Linked DNA regions of Drosophila melanogaster. The protein of the gene in region 2 interacts with the protein of the main gene of each other region in a pairwise test. Each region holds a gene or a part of one and is shown on either strand. Other genes may lie near its edges. The genes, in order: Sam-S and Galphas.

Region 1 (10,542 bases), on a different chromosome or scaffold from region 2:
CTGCGTGAACAATGAGGGCTCCTTTAGTTGCCTGGAGTGTGATCGATCTTGCGATGGATGCGATGGTGATGGCCCTGACATGTGCAGGAAGTGTGCGGATGGCTATGAGTTGAAGGAAGGAAAGTGTCATGGTAAGTAAGACAGAAATTTAATAAATTTGCTTTTAAGCAACGCATTGTCCACTGTATGTATTGCGCCTCCGATCATTTAAGATATTTCTGCGGAGCAACGCAGCAACTACGTAAGCTTTACGCGAATGCTCACCTACTTCGGAATGTGCGTGGCCACCTGTGTCATCTTCCAGAGCTCTACTCATATTGCCTGGGGTTGCATTGTTGGGGCGGCAGTGGCAGGGTACATTGCTGTTTCCGAGTACTGGATCAACTCGGAGGCAGGAGGCGGCCACCAACCCGAAATAGATACAAAACAGTTGGAGGAACTAATAATGAAGTCTTTATAAGTCAAAAGACATGTCAACATTGCTTTCCTTTTATGATATACACGAGCGTTTTGAAAAGCATAATCTTTTAACATTCCCCCAAGACATCTAACGATTTTTGTACTTCGTTTGCAGTCCGCAGTGATTCAAACTCCACGGTGCTCGGTGAAGAGTCCACGCACGAAGAATTGTAAAAGTAACCAAAAACGCACACCTTTTGTAGCCAATTTTACTTTAATAGGTAATATTATCAATTGATATGTAATTATAAATTAGAATTTCAAAAAGCAGGGCATGACCATATTTTTTTACACGTACCACACTTAGATATTTATTTGGTTTCAAAAATGTATAAAATCACAAATACAGCATATATTCGTATGAATAAATATTTTTAACTAAAATTACTGACGTAGTGTGCTTTTGTGACGTCCAAATTTTCATTTTGAAGACCATCTGTCGTGTGCAATGTAATACTGCTTTAAGCGGATTAATAAAGGAGCTACAGTGATACGAATGAATCATTGCATTTGGATCTTACAAAATGAAAATTTGTAAACAAAAAATATACACAAGATAACAACCATCACCGCGCTATATAAATAAAAACTCTAAAAATATTAACTAGAGGAACTTAAGCATTACATACGATCGTTCCCTTTGGCTTCTAAAGTTATCCAACACAGTCCGAAACGGATACAGAGCTCCCCCCACAACAGCCATTTAATCCCTACGACCGTGTCAAATGAATTTGACTTGTGCTGGCCGCTAGTCCTATCTCTTCGTCCGATTCATCTGAATCCAATGGACTCACTCGAATGGCTTGGTACCACTTGTTAGTCAGGTCGGCCATCTGTGACTTGCACTCGTGCAATTCCTGACTATTGAACCGACGTGTAAAAAACGGAATAAAGTACTTGCGATCCATGCGCCCAAAACGATCGCGCGCTTGAGTAAAGGTGACGTCCTCTTCCTCGGTGAGTTCAGACAAGTGTTCAGAGTCGATTGCCTGGCCCCATTCGCGAGTTTTCGATAGGGAAATAGATTTTGAACGCTTCCTACCGCTGCCGTTGCGTCGACCTCCCTCCTCAGCGGCATTCCTTCCAGAGCCGCGTGCCCGCCGTTTTTTTCCTGGCTTAAGGTACTTTAGCAGAGGCATTGTGGAGCCCCCCAGCACTAGCGTGGTAAATAGCACAATGATTAATCTGAAATTTTAATTCTTCAATGACTGAGCATTATTTTACAATCCGGAATATGCTTACGTTGTTGTTATGATGACGTGTCGTTTCTCCTGGCTGTCAAGATTCAAGTGCAAAGATAGCGCGTAGGAAATCGCTCCGCGTAGGCCAGAAAACCACATAATGAACTGCATCTTGTTATTGATCTTATGCTCGCGAAATTTGTTGACCAAGAACGCGAGCGGAAAAATATTGCAGGCGCGGCCAATTAAGCAAAGCACAATGGCCCATATAACAAAAGATAGTTCAACTTGGTGTTTAAAAGAAAAGATTGCTAATCCCAGATAAGCAAACACGCAGGTCTCAGCAATGAAAGCTAGTGTCCTCATCGTCTGCTGCATGGTAATTTGGGTAACCTACGATTAAAAAAGTTTTAATAATATATAAAATAGGGATATCATATGACTTACAGTGGATAGGTTGAAATGCGTGTAGTGGGACATGACGATTCCGCAAAATAGTATAGCCATAATACCTATAGTTGAAAAAAATGTTTAGCTTTTAGAGTCATAGTCAACAACATTGATATACCGCTTAAGTGTATTCCCTCTGCCAAGACGTAAGGTGCGTAAGTAAACATTAGCATCATCGCGAACTCGAGGGATGGATGCTTTCGTAAATCGATGTGCTTCAGAAGAAGAGCCGAAATTAGTGCAAATATGACTCCAATGCCCGCCGAAGCAAAGAACATCGCGCAAAAGGTCTTCAACGCGCTGAACATGGCTTCTCCAGTGCTGGCCTCAGCATTGACGTTAGCGGATTGGGTTATGGATGCAGTCAGCACAATAGATATGGCGTCGTTGAGGATGCTTTCGCCGAATACCAACATGTTGAGTATGGGGTCTACGTCAAGAGCATGGAAAATTGCCACTGTTGCCACAGGATCAACAGCAGAGATGAGAGAACCGAAGGCAAAGGATTCCGAAAAGCTTAGGCTAAAATTTAGGATAAATTATTGAATGAAATTGACAATTTATTTTAAACTTGCCGAAATGCCACCTCCCCCAGGCCCAGCAGGTAAATCCCCGCCCCGATGACTAGTGCAGAAATTGTTGTACCGAATATGGCAAAGACCAGTATGGATCCGATGTTCTGAAAGAAGTTTCCCTTGTGCAGATTGTAACCGGACTCGAATATAATGGGCGGCAGGAGCACCAGAAAGAAGCCCATGGGCGAGAAGACCTCTTCACGTTTCCAACTGCCATTCTGCCCAGACATAACGTTCAGCGAAAGGCCAATAAAGGCGCCCAGAAAGACTACCACAATGCTTTCTGGCAGGTACTGGAACCCGGTCTGGAGCATAGAGTGGATAAGCAGGATGCCCAACATGATAACGCAGATGACGAAAAACAGTGAGAGTGAGGAGTTGTGCTCCTGCTCGACAGCATGGGAATCGATTAGAGGCGGATCTGTGACCAATGTGGATGCGTTTCCCCTTTTCGTGGTGCTTGCATTACCAGATGCAGAAATCGAGGGCGTGACATTTCCAAGCGGACTGTTGACGAAGACATCCGAAACGGTGTGGATAGAGCTACTATTATCTGTAGTGGTGGTGTTGCTTGATGTTTTGCTTTGGGGCACCTCCTGTCCACTGATGCTTTCCGGACCCGCGTGCACCAACAGTAAGAGTGCAGCTGCACTATAAGCTACCCAAACCCTCATTTTTGCCGACAAAACGTGACGTGGTCGCTATTAACGCTCGCATTTAACTTTTCACTATTTGTTCAATTTGTTTTTTCACAAACATCTGTTTATCGCCCTATCTGACGTATATCGGGGAGAGTTGCCGTATCATTTTGGCTTATTGGCGCGTGCCTTTCATATATTCAAAAGAAAATTGTGCACTTAATTGCGTGCAGTATATTTTACCATATAATGAATTTATTTAAATAATTGGCTTTTGCCCAGTCATTGTAGCTGATAGCTCTTGTGAAGTGTCTTGAAAATTGAGCATTTTAAGTTTAAATATTTTTGTCTACGTATTGAGAACGTTTCTTACGGCAAAAAGAAAATTATATATGTATTAGAAAAGTGAAATAATAAAAAACCTTGTTATTGGCAAAGTGATAAATTGTTTAGTTAAGGCTATTACAATAACTGACGATAAATCAGTAAAATAAATGCATTGCCACAATCTACAGTTCGCAAGCACCCACCATTTGTGCTCAAGAATAATGTGCCCTGCGCATCTGTTCGTTCAGGCACACGCGATCTTCTTAGGCCCCGTGGGGTCACACCTTATTTGAAAGATAATGGGGCTTGTTGTTTTCGGTTATATTCAGTGGGTATTAGAATTTTAAAAAATGTACATGCAAAAACTGATTACCAGGCTCCTTGATCTTGGCAGACCTTGTTTGTCTTCTTGGCTGTGGCATGACGTAAGCACTTTTTCAAAAGCACAAATTGTTCGAATAGTATGAGAACCCTAATTGACGACTTTCCTTGACAAGATAGTGTCGAACGATCCATCTCCAAAAGGGCAGTCACTCCATGTTAGGGAAAAGCTAGGGTTTCAACAGATACAGACATTCGTTTAAAAATTCGCTTCGAATTGCGCTTCGTGTAGCGATTGTCTATATCATCGAATATGTATATGTCAATTGCTGTACATAAGAGAAGCCGAGAGAGCAATGCTAAACAGATTTTAAAAATTAGGTATATAGGTGGCTGCCGTGGTAGCACATAGTTTTGTTCTGATAAGCTCTTATTTCTTGCCGACTCATCTTCTCAAATGCTGTCTACAAAAATTTATAAATATTATTCGTCTGTAAAAATCATCCGCAGTTGAACGCAGGTTGAGCAGGAAGCTAGTCGAGACTATAATCCATATCTTGTCTGATCCTTTGTTCAAAACCACAGTGAGTATAAAATAAAGGATCTGGATCTAGATTCACTACAGTTCACTCCGGAGCGGGGTGGCAACGCTGGGCGGCGGAACAGCTGCTTAAAACCCAAAAACGTGGAGATACTGAAGAAGTAAAATCATTTGAGAGTACCGAGAACGCTAGGAAAGTTTCCCTAAAGAGCGCCCAAATAAGTCTCAAAATAATAATCGAGTCAGCCGAAGAGAACCGCCTCCTCCGTTTGCGACGATAAGCAAAAGCCCGCTCTCTCGTTGGAGGTATAAATTCTGAATGGCATTAAAAAGTTGCGCTCTTTTTCTTCAGAACCGTCGCTAAGATAGGACGTGTGTTGGCTGCGCCGCTGATTTGGTTGCCGTCGCTGAACCAGTATAACTCAGAATCAGTGTGTATAATTTGTTGAACTAATAGCTAGAACGTCGAACACGCATTTTAAACAGCTAGCAGCACCGAGCCCTCACCTAGCGACTAGTTTAGCTTTGAACCCGCTCAACGTGCGTCTCATGTATGTAGCGACGATTGTGGCAAACGCGCAGCATAAAAACATAAAAGAAGGGCGATTATATAAAAAAAACTATAACGAAAAGTGTGCGAATACCGGAAAATCCCAACAGCCTCGAGGCGGCCTATAGCTTAGATTCGCGAATGCGAAAATAGATGTGTTTTGCAAGAGTTCGGAAAATCAATTTCGTTAAGCGTTTTTTAACAACCGCTAATGTGGCCTCTCTTTCTCTCTGTTCCCCCAGCTCCACCAACAATTTAGCCGACCGGAACTCGGGTTATAGCACTGCTCCCCCATTGCCCCTTCAAACTTCGAGTTACATATTACAAACTACCCATCAACATGCCGCAAAAGACAAACGGACATAGCGCCAACGGATGCAACGGCAGCAATGGCAACTCATATGACATGGAAGACGGAGCTACATTCCTGTTCACTTCCGAGTCCGTTGGCGAGGGTCATCCAGGTGAGTGCTTCATTGCATCTGCGGCGCCTCCTATTGCATCATACCGATAGTGTCAGTGTAAAAAAAGAAACAATCTCAAATGCCCCTTCGGGCGTGGTGAGAGATGTTGCCTGTCAGTTCTCATAACCTGACCAAACTGATTCTCTAGCGTCTGAGGCCCTTCTGTCTGAAGTCCCTTTCCCTGTATACCCAGTTCCACACCTCCACCGTCTACTCACTTCTGCTTACCGCCTGAACTCTAACAAAATGGCGACGAAATTATGTCCATACCTTTGTTGATTTCTACCCAATTTGCACGACTTGAACAGAGGCTGAGAACGGGAAGAAGAGCTAGTAAAACGTGCCTCTGTTGCATCGCCCGGTGACCAAGCCGGAAAGCTGGGACCACGGAGAACAGCTGGCTTCTCTTGAAATCCCCGCACAACAGCGGGCTAAACCTTGTGCTTGGATGGGCAGACGCAATTAATAGACTGGTTCTTTATCGTTTGCGGCTCTCACATATGTATGTATGTGTGTACAGAGAGACTACGTCATGCGCACCATGTGCTTGTGGCTCATGGGAGATGCGAAATTCAAGTATTCTCTACGTTGTTCTACGTTGTCCACGCACTTGTTCATTTGATCGCAGATGGCGATCAAAACAACGGCCAACACAAACATACCTTACATTTTTCTAGACCGCTGTCAAAGCTTATTTTTTTCACCGAAATTGCCAACCACGTGTTTTGCTCGAGCTCGATCTTTTCGCCCCTCCCAGAGTTTGTTTATATCAGCAGTGGCGACCAGTATAGTAGTGTGTTTGACAACAGCTGTTGATAAGCCGAGCGACCTTTTATACTACGCATTGATTACTTTTACTATTCTATACTATTTTATTTTATAATGCTAATTAAGTCGGCTTGGCAAGCTAGCCCTAGACAATCTAGCCCTATACAATCGTGATGATAAGCGCCGAGTGCCATTCAGAAGAATACACCCCAAATGGTTGACATTAATATCGCCTGTCTTTTTGTAATAAATGAGTGACGGACTTGTTAGAATAGATAATTAGACTAGCCGGAAATTGGAAACCCTGAAACCCATTTCAGAGTAGCTACTTTAAACCCTTGACCTAACTAGTTTCCTCGCAATCATTATCCCAGCCGAAATCGATACCATGCGCCATTTCTATGAGTCAACAGTTTTGGTAATTTATGTTGCTATTGCTGACGCATGTTCGAGTTCAATAACGCCTTTACTACGAAAAGTAGCCGAATGTTGACGGACTCCAATTACGCGCCAAGTTTTGAGGCAAGCGCGAGCAACCCGACTGGTATCAGATGAATCCGACTCCCAGGATTTCATGGACGATTCGGCTTCAAATGTCATCATTTTGTGTTTGGACAACACTACGGTCGCCTTATGCTCTTGTTCTGGGAATTGAATTTCGCTGTCAATAGCAGACAGATTAAATGAAACCGCATGGCCCAGCAAATTTTGATCCGTCGCACTGAATAACATTTTGGCCCGTTCCTCCTTCCACTCCCCGACAAAAATGCTTTCCCCTCCTTCTTCGCCCACCTCTGGCTTACCTCTTGCTTACCTTATTTTTTTTAGACAAAATGTGCGACCAAATCAGCGACGCTATCTTGGATGCCCATCTGAAGCAGGATCCAAACGCGAAGGTGGCGTGTGGTAAGTGTTATGAAACCTGGAGTACATGACTGCTCTGACCCAAAATCAGATTTATATTAAATTCGGCCAATGAAGGTGCGCTGACCAACAATAAATAATCTCATTCATAGAATTAATCAAGAATCACCGTGAGTGCCATTCTTTTTGAAGTTGACTTATTCGATAGCGCCAACATAAAAAAACAAGGTCAAACCACCGGCAAATCTGTTTTTGGATTACCTGAAAAAGTTGCCGAAATTTCTTTTAACACATTCCATAATATTTAATACAGAAACCGTCGCCAAGACGGGCATGATTCTGCTGTGCGGCGAGATCACGTCTAAGGCTGTGGTCGACTACCAGAAGGTTGTTCGTGAGACAGTGCAGCACATTGGTTATGATGACTCCTCCAAGGGTAAGTGTCTATTAGGTACATAAACAATTTGTGGGCGGGTATTACAATTCGTTCCCTACGTCGGTCCTACGAACAATACTGTCAACTCAATATTAAATAACAATAAAATCAAATAAAAATCAAAAAGGTTTCGATTGGAAGACACTTAACCTGCTTGTAGCCATCGAGCAACAGTCGCCCAACATTGCCAACGGCGTTCATATCAACCGCGAAGAAGAAGACGTCGGCGCTGGTGACCAGGTACAGCAAAGCTTTCCGTTCTTCTACTACCGCCTAGCACTAAGTGATGCGGAGTGTGTGCGTTCGTTCGTTTCGTTTCATTTGTTAAGTGTTTCCCTTAATTCGTATCTTTCCCACATTAACTTGGCTTGCTCACAGGCCAACAAGAGTTTCGCCTTTGTCATTAAAAGCTGATGAGCAATAGGAATACTATTACTATAACTATTTTTTCTTAAGCCCCAAAAAAAATCAAATTGACTTGTTTCCCACAGCTACGAACCATTTGGTCGAAGACAACTTAACAATTTCACCTCAAGCAAATATATAACGACTGAAATACATAACATATCACACATTTGGATTACACTGCGGGCGTTCTCTAACCACATAAATTGCATTCAACCAAATCCATTGAAAGATTTATGTAATCATTAAAATTCCGCTAGTTACCGTTTTATGGAAGCAAGAGAAGTCTTGCATGCGGCTTGTCTGACCTATGGAAGAAGGCTTAAAGTTTTCCCAGACTTTGGTATATAGAAAAAACACCAAGAGAGTGCTTATGAAGATTGTAGAAAATACATTTTTTTGTAAACCGTTTTTATATATATAATTATAATCTAAAATAATAGGGTGTTTAAAATCATATTATGAACATTACTTACAGACATTTTCCTGTGTATGTGCACCATTGCTGCGCTTCTCTCTTTTATCTTTCTTTTCGTTTCATATTAAACCAATCTCGATACAATCCAATACCAAACTTTAAACGATATTGTGCACTTCGCAATCGCGCTTCGAAATTCACAAAAGGTTTCGATTTCAAAACGTGCAATGTGCTGTTGGCATTGGACCAACAATCGCCTGAGATCGCTGCGGGAGTGCATGTCAACCGTGCCGAGGAAGAGATCGGTGCCGGAGATCAGGTGTGATTTAGAAGCAGTAAAGAAGTAGCAGTCTCGGCAGGCCGGGATCGAAGGCCCTTTCCGAAGAGCAACGCATCTTTTTAATTTTTATTGATAGCAATTTAGTTGCGACTAAAATATTCATGGTGGTAGGGCGTTTATAAGCTCTTTGGAAGGGGTGTTGTCGCCACTTCTATAATTTCTGTTTATCGTTTCCTTTATATATTTTCGTAACTAATTGAAGTAGTGTATGACGACTTTATTGCTATTTAATTTTAAATTCATCTGTTTGCCACTATATCATAATAGCGCTGCAATATTGCTCCAACCGACCTACCAACCATATGATCGTCTTTTTTGTTAATTGAAGCTGCCAAATCCATATCATTTAACTTTTGACTTTTCAGTCGATACCATAATTAGAATAGCAGACACAAAACTAAGGCACACTACTGCATATATATACATCACTAACATAATTTTGTAAACAACTTTTTGACTCCTAAGTAGCAACAATTAATTCATACCCGAATCTATCACCCATGCTTGATTTACCCTTTCCTAACCCAAATGTGTTTTATTTATCTAACGCTACTGATTCTTTTTGGTTTTGGTTACTTTTAAGTGAATAATTAATGATTAATTAATTAGTGATAGAGATTATTAATGAAGCGAAATAAACTTTTTGCAGGGTATCATGTTTGGATATGCCACCGACGAAACCGAGGAATGTATGCCCCTAACCGTCGTTTTGGCTCACAAACTAAACGAAAAGATTGCTGAGCTGCGTCGCTCAGATGTGTTCTGGTGGGCTCGCCCCGATTCCAAAACACAAGTAACCTGCGAGTACCTCTTCAATCAGGGATCAGCAGTTCCCAAGCGTGTCCACACTATTGTAGTGTCCATGCAGCATTCTGAAAAGATATCGTTAGAAACCCTGCGCTCGGAAGTAATGGAGAAAGTTGTTAAAGTAGTCATTCCCGCCAAATACATTGATGCCAACACCATTGTCCACATCAATCCTTGTGGGCTTTTTGTAATCGGTGGACCAATGGGTGACGCTGGGCTTACAGGAAGAAAAATCATTGTAGATACTTACGGAGGCTGGGGCGCCCACGGCGGCGGTGCATTCTCTGGCAAGGACTTCACCAAGGTTGACAGATCAGCTGCATATGCAGCACGCTGGGTGGCCAAATCACTGGTTAAGGCCGGTCTCTGCAAGCGCTGCCTTGTCCAAGTGTCCTACGCCATAGGTCTTGCTGAGCCTCTCTCCATAACTGTGTTCGACTACGGAACTTCTCACAAGTCACAAAAAGAACTTCTGGATATCATCCGTCGAAACTTTGACCTCAGGCCCGGCAAGATTGTCAAGTAAGTGTCAAACTCTAGATGCTAAAAAATATTTCATAACAATTGTCTATATTTTTGTTTTAAGGGACCTAAACCTGCGCCAGCCGATATACCAGCGAACAAGCACTTATGGACACTTCGGTCGCGCGGGCTTCTCGTGGGAGGAGGCCAAGCCTCTGGAGATTGACAACTGACTAGACGCTGAAGCGTTGCAACCGCAGTCACCATATGCTAAAAGGTCGAAGCTATCCTTATATTCATCAGCGTCAAAATTAACAGATACCCAAGCACCAACGTAATTTTTAGTGTCGTTTTTAAAGCCTAAAGTCAGAGGAGAAGGCGGCATAGGCTTGCCAACTCTTATGGGCTTTCTTCTCTAACTTATGCTGTGCTCTTCGCTATATAATTTAAACCATTCTGATGTGTGTAGTCTTCTCACACGGAACTAGTTTTAGTCGTCTTAATACCCGCATATATACCTAATAGAGAGCTCCAAA
Region 2 (12,237 bases):
TAACAAAGAGAAGACATCGCCACCCTTAACATCAGATCAATCACCTAGCCAGTTCCTCCTAAAATCTCTACGTCACGAAAGTATTTAGGTCCAAAAATAGAGCCACAACTGAAAGTTATCACATACATTACTATTTACTTGCGTTAACATTTAGTATATTCTAATTGACAACTAAATATGTACATATTTCAAAGTCAGCTCTCGTGTAAGCATTTACGTTTTGGTGGAGAAAAGGTAGGAATCCTTTTGACCAGAAGTCAATTTCGCAGCATTCTCACTGCCCACAATGTTACTCAAGCTTAGCAGATCGTACTTTGTGTACAGGATACTGACGGACATTTCGTCCCCAAATCCATCGCGCGGATTTTGATTTGTCTTCAGCATCAGATTGATGATCTCGGAATAGAAGTGCGGAAAGTTGGGCGGCTGGTACATGATCAAGTTCCGGATGCCCTTAATCCGCGTGCGCCGGAAGAAGTGCGCTCTTTCCGAGTACAACAGAACAGATGCCCCGCTGTGGAAGAATATATCTCTCGCCCGGGAAATCTTTTCTTTCTTGGTGTACTCATTTATCTGCACAAAACTGACCATTTCGGTCTTGAAATGGTTGCGTATCCGTACGTAGTCAAAGTAGCTGGGCACGTATAGCATACAGTGCGAGAAACCGGGCTTACTGAATTGGGGCATAATATTCTTGACGAAGTACTGGAACCGATCGTCGAAGGTCGTCTCCACACTGGAGCAATTGATTAGGCGGAAAACCTGATGTATTGGAGTCAGAACGTTCCGGATGTCTCCGTGCTCGACGAGGTTCGAGTCTCGCACCTTTCCCTGGTAGTTGTTGCACTTGCTGTTGAACACTGCCCGGAACTCGGGCAGCTCGTGGGACGAGAAGAACAGGGTTTGGCGGTAGAAACTTGACGCTCCACTCAGGCACCACGTTCGTACCCTCTGGCAATTCGTATCGGGCAGCTTCTGCGGCTGCAGGTGCAGGTGGTCCAGGGAGTGCAGCAGGTTCTCCCAGTTCTGCGCCAGGAACAATTCGGCTTGGTCGATTATCAGCAGTTCAATGGAGTTCAAAAAGTCAAAATCGCTCTCCTTGTCCGTAACCAGCATTCTCAGTCCCAAGGGAGACGCGATCAACATGTCCGATGCGTTCATATCGGAGAATAGGGACATGGTTTTCTTTGTAAAACGAATACCTAGTTTGAAGTTGTCATCCGTGTTGCCACTGAATGTTTGCTCATAATCCATTGGCTTTGGGTTGGTTTTGGGGAAGTAAATCGTATTCCCGGAGTAATCTCCCAGGAAGCGTTCATAGTTCGCGATCGAGGTTTTCCTGGCCTGATCTGTGAAGGACATTTAATGGTAATACAGGTTCTTTGCTATCAACGGGTGACTTACCATCTTGACTGCCAAAGAGTAGATCTCCGAGTATATTTACAATCCTTAGAGCCGATTCCCTGAAGGGCACTACAAAAACGACCTTCATCCGCTTAAGCCCTTGGTCCCTGAAGCTCTCTGGTATAGAGATTTCGTTGGGCGACATTTTTTGTGACTTGGCCAAAGCCGAAACCTTTTCGTTGTTGCGCAATATCAGTGATCTGACTTTCAGCATGTGGTTCAGGGCGTGCAGGCAGTATACATAGCGAATATCCTCGGCATTGCCATGAGTTCGATGGGGATAGTATATATCTTGGTAGTTATTGGCGATGTAGAAGAGCTGGGACTGCAGGGCAGTGAGTGGCAGTTTGGCGTTTGCACAAATGGACGCCTTCACCTCCAACTTTTGCAGATCTTCCGTGCTTGCAATGTCCTTGGGCTCGCTGCAGTCGGGCTCCTTGAAGTCCTCAGTCAGTCGTGGTATATCGAACCTTACATTCCCCAGAGCGGACCAGTTCCTCTTGATTGTTTTAACATCCTTTCTCGCAATCAAATCGTTGATATTATCCGTAGATAGCTCAAAATCGAAGCGTTTCGAAAACGAATTGTATATTTCCAAGTCGACACCTAACTGCTCGGAACGCTTTTCCTTTTTGGGTTTGATCTTCCTGGGCACGGGAATAACGTGATCCTCTTCCTTCTCTGCTTTTGAGCGTAGGATGTCACCTGGAAACGATATTCTTAGTTAGTCATGGGCACATTTTTGTCCATTGCAAGGGCTACTTGTGGGTATGTTATTAACACCAGTTATGAGCTTTTTATAGAACTCAGTCTCGTCCACATCATCCTGGATCTCCGGCAACAGCTCCGCCACGGGCTCATATTCCTGTTTCGGTGCTGTGGGCATTCGTTCCCTGCGGTGGGACTCCTCCATTTGCTTGCTCCTCTGGATGAAACTGTAGTTCTTCGAGAATCTCTCATTTCGCCGGGCGGGCGTTGGTTTCTTGTAGGGCTTCGCCCTGTTCTTCGAGTGTTTTTGTTTCATTTTAAACTGTTTGTTACCGAGTATCTTTCGCACACACGTGTGGATCAACAAACATCTGGATTGGTGAAGGAATCCGATACACAGACATATCGATAGCTCCTAGAGATGGCGTGTGGTGAATTTAAAGCCGGTAAAGCTAATTCATTTGAAATTTATAATCTAAGCCATGTTTTTTTAGGAAATCACATAAATTTGCTATGAAACCCCAGTAGGTGACCAACGATGAATTGATTTCTGGCATATAAATATCAAAAAATTGTCTAAGATATGACTTTTGAAGCGGTCAAATATGGTGATTTTCCGATTTGAAGTACTGGGCGAACTGAAATCTCAGTAGGTGACCAGCCTAGTCCAAGTAAAATCAATATCATTGCACTAGAAAAATCATCTAAAAAAAATGCATACTTTTAAAATTATCGTTAGTTTACGAAAATTTTCTTCCGACCCAAAATGTTCAGCGCTTTCTGTACAAGAACGAAAGTATGCACTTATTTATTCGTCCAATTACAAGTAGATGGTTATTTATATTTAACAAGCTATTCACCTAAGATTAGCTTGAATACCTTATCATCACAGTTAAAGATTAATGTTAGGGAGCTAGTTTAAGTCTGCTTAATTGTCAGGAATCCCCCTGATGGCCCCTTATATCGATTCCTAAACCCAAGTTGGGGCTGTTCAGTATTTTTCCAGAGCCGGGCGGTATAAATTGCCGCTCCAGTGGCGGTCTTATTGCATTGAAGTTGGGCAATGGGAAGTGATCGCACGTTAAAAAAGCAAAAGATGTCGGTATTACAGGAACTCAAGAAAATCACCACAATTGTGGCTGACACCGGCGACTTTGAAGGTAAGTACGCACGCAAGGTATTTTTCTTAACAAGATGAGTCCGATTTCAAAGCTAGCGTAAGTTTGCCTCAAAAGTGGGAATCCAGAAATGCAACTAAAGCGAAATGCGAGTCTGAGCTCGAACATCCATACATATATAGAGCATACATAGAATCCGAGTCCAAAGATACATAGGATACATGGATTTATCCAAAAGATAAACATTAACGACGGGCCATCGGATCCGTCGTGTCTGCCGCAGTGAAGATCAAATAAAAGTGAAAAGCAAATCCGAGCTGACTTTAGTTTGACCTTTGGTGCTTACGTGTGTTAGAAATGTGACCGCTATAGTAAAGTGTACTATAGAATGCCACCAGAGATAAGGTTTCGGAGCAGAGTGCCAAACCTGCTCAGACATTTGAAAAGTTCAAAGATATTTTCGGTCGGGCGATTGAAAAATGAAAGTCGCTCAACAGGTTTCGAGGTCTTTCTAAAATTCGCAATGTAATTTGGCCCCGCACTTATGCAAATACTTTACACATTGCTTCCAGCCATCAACATCTATAAGCCCACGGATGCCACCACTAATCCCTCCCTCATCTTGTCCGCTTCGTCCATGGAGCGGTACCAGCCGCTGGTCCAAAAGGCGGTGGAATACGCCAAGGGCAAGAAGGGGTAAGCAGTTCACTTGGGTGTTTGCCACACAAAGCTACATAGAATACCATCGTTTGCAGCTCCGTGAGTGAGCAGGTGGCCGAGGCCATGGACTACCTGTGCGTGCTGTTCGGAACGGAAATCCTGAAGGTTGTGCCCGGTCGCGTTTCCACCGAGATCGATGCCCGCTTGTCCTTCGACACCAAGAAGAGCGTGGAGAAGGCCCTGAAGCTGATCGCCCTGTACAAATCCCTGGGCGTCGACAAGGAGCGAATTCTGATCAAGCTGGCGTCCACCTGGGAGGGCATCAAGGCGGCCGAGATCCTGGAGAACGAGCACGGTGTGCACTGCAACCTGACGCTCCTTTTCTCGTTCGCACAGGCCGTGGCTTGCGCCGAGGCCGGCGTGACCCTCATCTCCCCGTTCGTGGGCCGCATCCTGGACTGGTACGTGGCCAACACGGATACCAAGAAGTTCGAGGCGCTCAAGGACCCGGGCGTGATCTCCGTGACGAACATCTACAACTACTACAAGAAGTTCGGCTACAAGACCCTGGTCATGGGCGCCTCCTTCCGTAACGTGGGCGAAATCAAGGCCCTGGCTGGCTGCGATCTGCTTACCATCAGCCCAGCGCTGCTTAAGGAGCTGGAGAACGAGACCGAGTCGGTGGTCACCTACCTGTCCGTAAGCAACGCCAAGCTGCAGGACATCGAGAAGATCACCGTCGATGAGAGCCGGTTCCGCTGGCTGCTCAACGAGGACGCCATGGCCACCGACAAACTTTCCGAGGGCATCAGGAAGTTCGCCGTGGATACTGTTAAGCTGGAGAATTTGATTAAGACCTATCTTAAGTAGATGTTCCTCTGGGTCCGCTAGCAGGTGGAGGATGAATACATTCGTTTTTGAAAAAGACAATGATTTTATACTTTAATAAACACTACAATTAAAAGAGATGACAAGATTCAGTTGGGAGTTATGGAAATTATTAAATGGGTGAATAGGTTTGGCATGCAAATAGCATGATTACTCGTTGCAGATATGGATACGAATAATAAATACTAAAAGTTTACAAAATAAATAAAATTTGCAAATTATATCACAGATAAAGATACTTTTTTTTTGATACCTTATCATAACAACTTCAAACATGTTTTCTACACGCCCGTGTAGAATATCTATGTAAGCCTGTAGAGACGGCTGCTTATGTAAAGTATCGGACGGGTGTTTCTGGATTTCGCTATTCTACATAGCTCGGGATACTTTATTTTATTATTAATATTCGCTAAAATAGCACATCGTCATTTGGCATAGATGTTTTTGGCCCAGTAACATATCTATCTACATCACCGCCCGCACTATCCGATAGGCAGACTGACTATCGATAAAAGTATCTACTTCGTTGCATCCCTAGGTTGATACATAAAATAAAAAATATATAAAAAGTGAGTTAGTACTGGTATTAAAAGTAATTTTTAAGCTACAAATTGATGAATTGCGAGCACACAGAGACTAAGAACATTGGGAATCCGGAAAACAGTGGCTGGCGCGTCGGGTGCGATAGAATTGCCTGTTTTTCAGACCCCAAAAGTCGCTCCCAACCGAGTCGTGCACCTATAGTCTTGGCCCGAAGTTGCTCCCATGAATAAAAATGTTCGGTAATTTCACGGTAAACAATAACCATTGTCGAACGCAGGGAATAGTCGCGTTCGCACACGTAATTGCCATCGCGCAGAGATGTGATTCGCCCCTGCAGCCCCTCGATCTCGACCGACCTCCCGATTTTCGGACGTCCTGCGTCCTGCGACCTGCGACCTGCGTCCCATGTCCTTAAACCTGAAATCAGTGAAAAATCGTTCGCGCATGAATATCCAAAATACAATCCCATCCATCGAATTCAATCCATTCGAATCCAAACCAATCCAAGCAGATGCGTTGCGATGCGATTCCATTCCATTCGATTCGATTCGATCCGATTCGCGATGGTATAGGTATAATATAGTTTTTCTAACCAAGTGTCAAAGAAATGGCAAATATTTCGGATTCGGAGGCACGGAGCACTACGTATTGATATATGTACATACATTTATTTATGTACATCCATCCATTCACACATGCGAACCGAGAACTTGTGTATATATCTAAATACATACGCACGTATATACGAGTAGATACACAACGGTGTGTACTCATATCTGTGAGATATATATGTGCCCGTGTCCGTGTCCGTGCCCGCTTAGATCCCGATTCCGATGCCGATGAATTTATGTACATATATTTACATTAAAATCTGCATATCTGCCATATCTGGCATATCTGCCACCACCCCCTCCGCCTATATAGGTATATGTGTAGGGTATAGTACGTTCATCTTCCTGCGACTCCCGTCGGTCGGCAATAATTGCTAGATTAAATACTCTTAATATTCGCGTGCCTACACTCATCCGTAAACCCACATACGAGCTAATCGAATCCGAATCCGCGTATCGGACCCATCCATTCCATTCGAGCCTCAACTGCAGATGGAATTATGTTGGGTTGGTATCTCTATATACATGCGTACCTGCTGCCCAGTATGCGCGAGAGTGCCACCCTCTCCGCCCCCTTCTTCACCTGTTACACTACGCCGATGTTGTGGATGTCGATGTGAATGAGAATGTGAATATGGCTGTGAATATGGATGTGAATATGAATGTGATGAATTCCAATCGTCCGACGCGAATGTCCAACGCGAATGAACGCGCGTTGCGTGGAGTAATTTTTGATTTTGATTTTCATTCCGATTCCGATGCTATGCGAGCGCTTTTGGGACCCGAAACCCAGTGACTCACGGGACTTTCGTGGGCGGCAATGTCAGCGGCGTCGCCTTGGCTTAGTAGGCACCCATTTTGGTCGCTACACTCGCGCGTACGCGGATGATATGGGGGCACTGAAGTGGATTCGGGATTCTATGCAATCGAAATGGGTTTCTGCTGGAGAATCTCAGTTAGTGGGAATAGAAAGCTCGAGGATCGTTAGTTCTGAAAGTTCTGTTACTCATTTTTCCATCTACTATACCATTGTACGAATGCAGCCTGCTGCAGAGATCCACTGAAGCGCTGAGCCAACGCCAACGGTGGTGCCACTGAGATCGGAGATCGGAGATCGCAGACCGGAGACCGACGAGCACACAAGGGATTGTGGTTTGATCCGAGGAACCCAAGCACTCAGCTATACTGGAGCAGAACGGAGAAAGCACAAGGGGTGCCGAGTCGCCCGACGCGAACCAGGAAAACCGAGCGACGTGTTGGTGGACCCCGTGGGCTGCGATGGGTTGCTTTGGGTCGCCCACCTCCAAGCAGTCGGACGTGAACTCGGAGGACTCGAAGAGCCAGAAGCGCCGGAGCGATGCAATATCTAGACAGTTGCAGAAGGACAAACAGCTCTACAGGGCCACACACAGGCTGCTCCTCCTGGGGGCGGGCGAGTCCGGCAAATCAACCATAGTCAAGCAAATGCGAATATTGCATGTCGACGGATTTTCTGACTCGGAAAAGAAACAGAAAATTGATGATATTAAAAAGAATATTCGAGACGCTATCTTGGTGAGTTCCATCCCGCCGGCCATCTAAGCCCAAACACTTGCTTAACTCCTTGCCAATCCCTTACAGACTATTACAGGAGCCATGAGCACACTTAATCCACCTGTAGCTTTAGAAAAGAAGGAAAATGAACCCAGAGTGGAGTACATTCAGGATTATGCATCTAGTAAGAGCCTCTGCCGCCCCAACTTAAGTTGTTATCAACCATTATCTGCCCCGCAGGTCCGGACTTTAATTATCCTCCTGAATTTTATGAACATACAGAAGAACTATGGAAAGACAAGGGCGTTCTTCAAACCTATGAGAGGTCGAATGAGTATCAATTAATCGATTGTGCGAAATAGTAAGTAATGCCCACCCACATTTAACATCCTGCCATCGATGTGTTGAGCCAAACGAATAGTTCTTGTAGCACTACAAACAGATTTAATTGTTTAATTTAATTCATCTCGGAGTGCATGCCAATTGTTCTGAAAGCTTAACTATGTGTTTCACTTGGAAGTGCAGAAATTCAATGCGTTGGATCGAAAGTATGCAACTTTTAATTCTAACAAGTAATCCGCTTGATGAAGTAAACTTTAAATATCGTCGCTTTGCTGCAGTATGACTATCTGAAAGTAGAACCACAACCTAAACCTACTTTCGCATTCCATATCTGTCTGTCTGTACAATAATTACTACAATATATGGGTTTTAGAATGAGTCCAATTCTTAAAAGGAGCTAGTAGTCGAAGTAGTACCAACTACGCCATGCACATAGAAGTATCGTAACGATCATACTTTTCCAAGTTGAGAAGGCTTTTTGTTTAATTCCCCGAAGAAACAAGTTGCTAAACACCAAGTCCCAATTTTCCGTAGTTTATGCCAGCTAATCCGCATTTGTACTTGTATCTAAGCTTGATTAAGGCACTGAAACCGAATTTGTACTTACTTCTACACTTGATATTCTGCTTTGAAGCTTCCTGGACCGAGTGAGCACAATCAAGAATCCAAACTACACCCCTAATGAGCAGGATATTCTTCGGTGCCGTGTTTTGACTTCTGGAATATTTGAAACAAGATTTCAAGTGGACAAAGTAAACTTTCAGTAAGTGTAATCCCAAGTGATATCGCAATATTTTAGTTTCTATTCCATTCTAATGATGTGCATTCGCGTGCAGCATGTTCGATGTCGGTGGCCAGCGGGACGAGCGTAGGAAATGGATTCAGTGTTTCAATGATGTAACTGCTATCATATTCGTAACTGCGTGCTCAAGTTATAACATGGTTTTGCGGGAAGATCCCACCCAGAACCGACTTCGAGAATCTTTGGATTTGTTCAAGAGTATTTGGAACAACAGGTGAACCGAGCAATTTGGCGCCATCTCGACAAATGGAAACTAACGAGTTGTTCTTTCAGATGGCTTCGCACGATTTCTATTATACTATTTTTAAATAAGCAAGATTTGTTAGCAGAGAAAATTAAGGCTGGAAAAAGTAAATTGTCGGAATATTTCTCCGAGTTTAACAAATACCAAACGCCAAGTAAGTAAAATAGTATAACCCATAGTAGAGGCCAATTGAGGGCGAGGGAGTCATCAGATCAACCGACTCAGATCTGGCCAAGAAATTCGCAATTCCTTTTCAAATTTGCAAACCGTGCCCAAGTTAACTTAAGAAATTTAATGGATAATGTATTTTGTCTAATTTCAAATGTGCTGTCGACACAGGTGACGCAATAATGGAATCCAATGATGACCCAGAAGTAATACGAGCAAAATATTTCATACGAGACGAGTTTCTGGTGGGTTATATCACATCTCCGTTTCTTCCTCCACCTATCTAACTAGCCTTAATCCTTAATGGGATCTCTTTCTTATATAGCGTATATCTACCGCTAGCGGAGACGGAAAACACTACTGCTATCCACATTTCACATGCGCCGTTGACACAGAAAACATTAAACGTGTGTTTAATGATTGCAGAGACATTATTCAAAGGATGCACCTTCGTCAATATGAATTGTTATAGGTTATCCCCATCGCCGTAATGCAAGTAAATAAAAATATTAATGACTTACTGTTTTAAATATAATTATCAAATGTAATTTGTATTTAAATAGTCCCTTGATTAAAACAAAAAATTCGCTGCATTTAGATCTGGTATGACCTTTCACAAAACTCAACATTAAAGAATAATAAATAAACATGTTAATAACAGACACGCTTGTTTCGATTATTTTGGCTATTCTACCAGGATGCACCTGCTTTATTTTCTATAGTCCCTTGACATGAAGCATTTTAGAGTATTTCCGCTATCAGAGTCCGTATCCATATCCATGGGCATTTACATTCACGCGCTGTCGAAGGTATCACTAGACGAGCTGGTTGAGGATGCTGAAGCTGGCGGAGGCCTTGTCGATCTCGTCGAAGTTCCGCTTGAGCTTACTGCTCCAGGTGTCCTTGTACAGGGGGTCCATCCTCACCAGGTAGGGCACCAGGTCCCGGTGATGGCCAGACCCGATCTTGCCGGCCGCGCACTGCTTCACCGAGTACTTCGTCTTGAACTCCGACTGGCTGCACTCGTAGCAGACGACCGTTTGTCCATTGGCAGCCGAAATCAATCTGGGGATCAGGGCATATGTTTCAGTGATTGGGAAGGGGATTAGTGAGTTCAGTGAGTAATGGCAAATAGGCGGGCAAGCAGGCACTTTGGCTGCCGGTATAGCCACGTATTATTCGGATCTGTTATCTGCATATTTACATACATTATATATAGAGCCTATTTCGATAACATCCGGATAAGACCTGATAGCAGCAGCCGAGTCTCAGATATCTGATAGTACTACATATAAACCTGTCGCACGATGGGCATATTCACGTGCCACCATATCACTCACCTCACTATAAACGGTCCATCGTACTTCTTCGAGCCAGCTTTTTGGGGCAGCATGTGTTAGCGGTGGTAAGGGATTAGTGTAAGTCTAGATTTTTGGAATTTACATGAATGACTCTCCTCTGGAGGGCGAAAGTAAAACTCTTTACAAATGCAATAATTTATTAACAATTAGGAGCTACATCATTTTATATGCACATATAAAATAAAGACCAGGCTGCTTATTTACATTTCAGTTTCATTTCGGTCCTCGATATTGTCAAAGTCAATGGAGTGGTGCGGAAGCGGAAGCGGAAGTTGGGAATGTGGCGGTTTCTAGTCGCTTAGGAACTGTCTACTCTGCGTCCGCTTTATCAAATGACCGCCACCAATGCTGTCCAAGCCGCGCTTCGAAACCGTTCTCGAGAAGCGCTCTTGCAAGGACTCGGGGCTCTTGTTTTTGGACAGAAATATATTTACATTTCGTTGGAAGAGTTTGTAAAACTCGTTAAACAACGGCGATGTGGAAAGGTCGTCGTTGGGAAGTCCGGTTTGTCGTAAACTCACGCTGTTTCCGTTACACAATTCTCTTAACGCTGGCAGATCTGATCGAAATCGAAATCGAAATAATAAGAAATTAGGACTTAATGGCTTTGTACAAAAGCTAAGCTGTTGGTTATGATAATTAAAAAGTTCGAGTATATATATGTACATATATGTACAAGTTGGTTCTCAGTATGTGTTCAATGGCTCGTTGTTACCTTCACAAAGATATTTTCCATCCAGCAGTTCGTCGTTGGAAATATCCTAAAACATAGTTAGCTATAGTAATTGTAATCCGTTTACAGAAGCCCGTAGCTTTCCACTGGATATTCTCGAAAGCACTTCAAAAACGTACCACACCGGGCGCTGCGTGAATGAAGTTCAGGAACACCGATACCACCGCCAGGAGCACATATAGATTCATGATTCCAGCCGTTGACCGTTAGCCTGGTGCACTTGGGAGCGATTTGAAGATGACTGTGCCGATTTGCCGCGCCGCAGTTCGTTTTATACCCGATTCGGGGCAAACATCCTCTGACTTAAACAGGGTGATGGCAAATTTATGATGCAGATAACCACCGACGACAGCTAAAAGACCGCAGGAACGCACCCGTTATTAACGGCTTAGTGGCTCGATGGCTTGATGGCTCTGGCTCTATGGTTCGGTGGCCGTGGGTTGGGTGGGCCAGTTCGGTCTCCTTTATGCTCTTAATGCGTCACTTGCACCATATTTCTAGCCACTAATGGTAAGTACTCCCACAAACAGAGCGAGAGTGTCAAGATTTCAGCAAACATGCGTGCACTCGCACATATGTTCGATTATTAGATTTAATTTTCATTTGCACGACACCATAAATGTCCCTGTGTCTGCTGCCTTTAGGGTTTCCTGGTTAATTGAGTTAACCGCGAATCCCATTCATCTGCAAGCGTTGGTTGGTTGGCGCTGACGAAATATAAAGTATGTGAAATATTTTAAAGTTGACTTTACTTTGTGACGTTATATCACATTATAATTCGGGTTGGAATTGGCTAGAATTGAAAAACAATTATTATGCTGATGCTCTTCACTTACTGTCACTTTCCACAAAAAAAAACTTTATTTCAATTAAAAGACATATTCGAAATCATCTTTTCCGATTCGAAAATAGTTCCGAAATTTACCGTTTTAGATACCCCCAACGAAAAAATTAATCGATTTGCACGCAAATGCGATATGAATCACCCTGTTTGCCGACTATCATAATGTTTTCTTCTTAGTATTTTTCGACTTGTAAAATCGGCACATATATTGCGAAATGTCGAGATTTCTTTTAAACAAAAGATTCGTTCCGAGCCTGGTCCAGGTACGTTCTAGAACC

Evidence for each region.
Region 1: the proteins of Galphas (region 2) and Sam-S interact in a two-hybrid assay, tested with the Drosophila melanogaster proteins (one large-scale study listed by BioGRID).

Annotation. Positions count from the first base shown.
Region 1 is NT_033779.5:103,304-113,845, forward strand, and holds the start of Sam-S (S-adenosylmethionine synthetase), read left to right. Parts: upstream 1-3,599; 5' UTR 3,600-3,697; intron 3,698-4,457; exon of another isoform or gene 4,458-4,461; 5' UTR 4,462-4,535; exon of another isoform or gene 4,536-5,043; intron 5,044-5,284; 5' UTR 5,285-5,382; coding exon 5,383-5,506; intron 5,507-6,290; exon of another isoform or gene 6,291-6,447; coding exon of another isoform or gene 6,448-6,490; intron 6,491-7,102; coding exon 7,103-7,180; intron 7,181-7,451; coding exon 7,452-7,574; coding exon of another isoform or gene 7,575-7,597; exon of another isoform or gene 7,598-7,701; coding exon of another isoform or gene 7,702-7,814; exon of another isoform or gene 7,815-8,034; intron 8,035-8,603; coding exon 8,604-8,716; intron 8,717-9,386; coding exon 9,387-10,066; intron 10,067-10,130; coding exon 10,131-10,239; 3' UTR 10,240-10,542. Other genes in the region: Creld (cysteine rich with EGF like domains), read left to right, coding at 1-131, 213-460; Nhe1 (Na[+]/H[+] hydrogen exchanger 1), read right to left, coding at 1,170-1,644, 1,702-2,033, 2,088-2,152, 2,209-2,612, 2,666-3,339. UniProt on the Drosophila melanogaster protein: Catalyzes the formation of S-adenosylmethionine from methionine and ATP. The reaction comprises two steps that are both catalyzed by the same enzyme: formation of S-adenosylmethionine (AdoMet) and triphosphate, and subsequent hydrolysis of the triphosphate.
Region 2 is NT_033778.4:23,937,255-23,949,491, forward strand, and holds Galphas (G protein alpha subunit s), read left to right. Parts: upstream 1-5,283; 5' UTR 5,284-5,347; exon of another isoform or gene 5,348-5,560; intron 5,561-6,722; exon of another isoform or gene 6,723-6,975; 5' UTR 6,976-7,210; coding exon 7,211-7,486; intron 7,487-7,552; coding exon 7,553-7,649; intron 7,650-7,705; coding exon 7,706-7,826; intron 7,827-8,441; coding exon 8,442-8,570; intron 8,571-8,643; coding exon 8,644-8,823; intron 8,824-8,882; coding exon 8,883-9,007; intron 9,008-9,183; coding exon of another isoform or gene 9,184-9,192; coding exon 9,193-9,266; intron 9,267-9,346; coding exon 9,347-9,493; 3' UTR 9,494-9,682; downstream 9,683-12,237. Other genes in the region: CG3735 (uncharacterized protein), read right to left, coding at 214-1,349, 1,405-2,109, 2,167-2,428; Taldo (transaldolase), read left to right, coding at 3,176-3,272, 3,803-3,926, 3,986-4,760; orcokinin, read right to left, coding at 9,837-10,086, 10,362-10,398, 11,098-11,143, 11,235-11,303; Stoml2 (stomatin like 2), read left to right, coding at 12,175-12,222.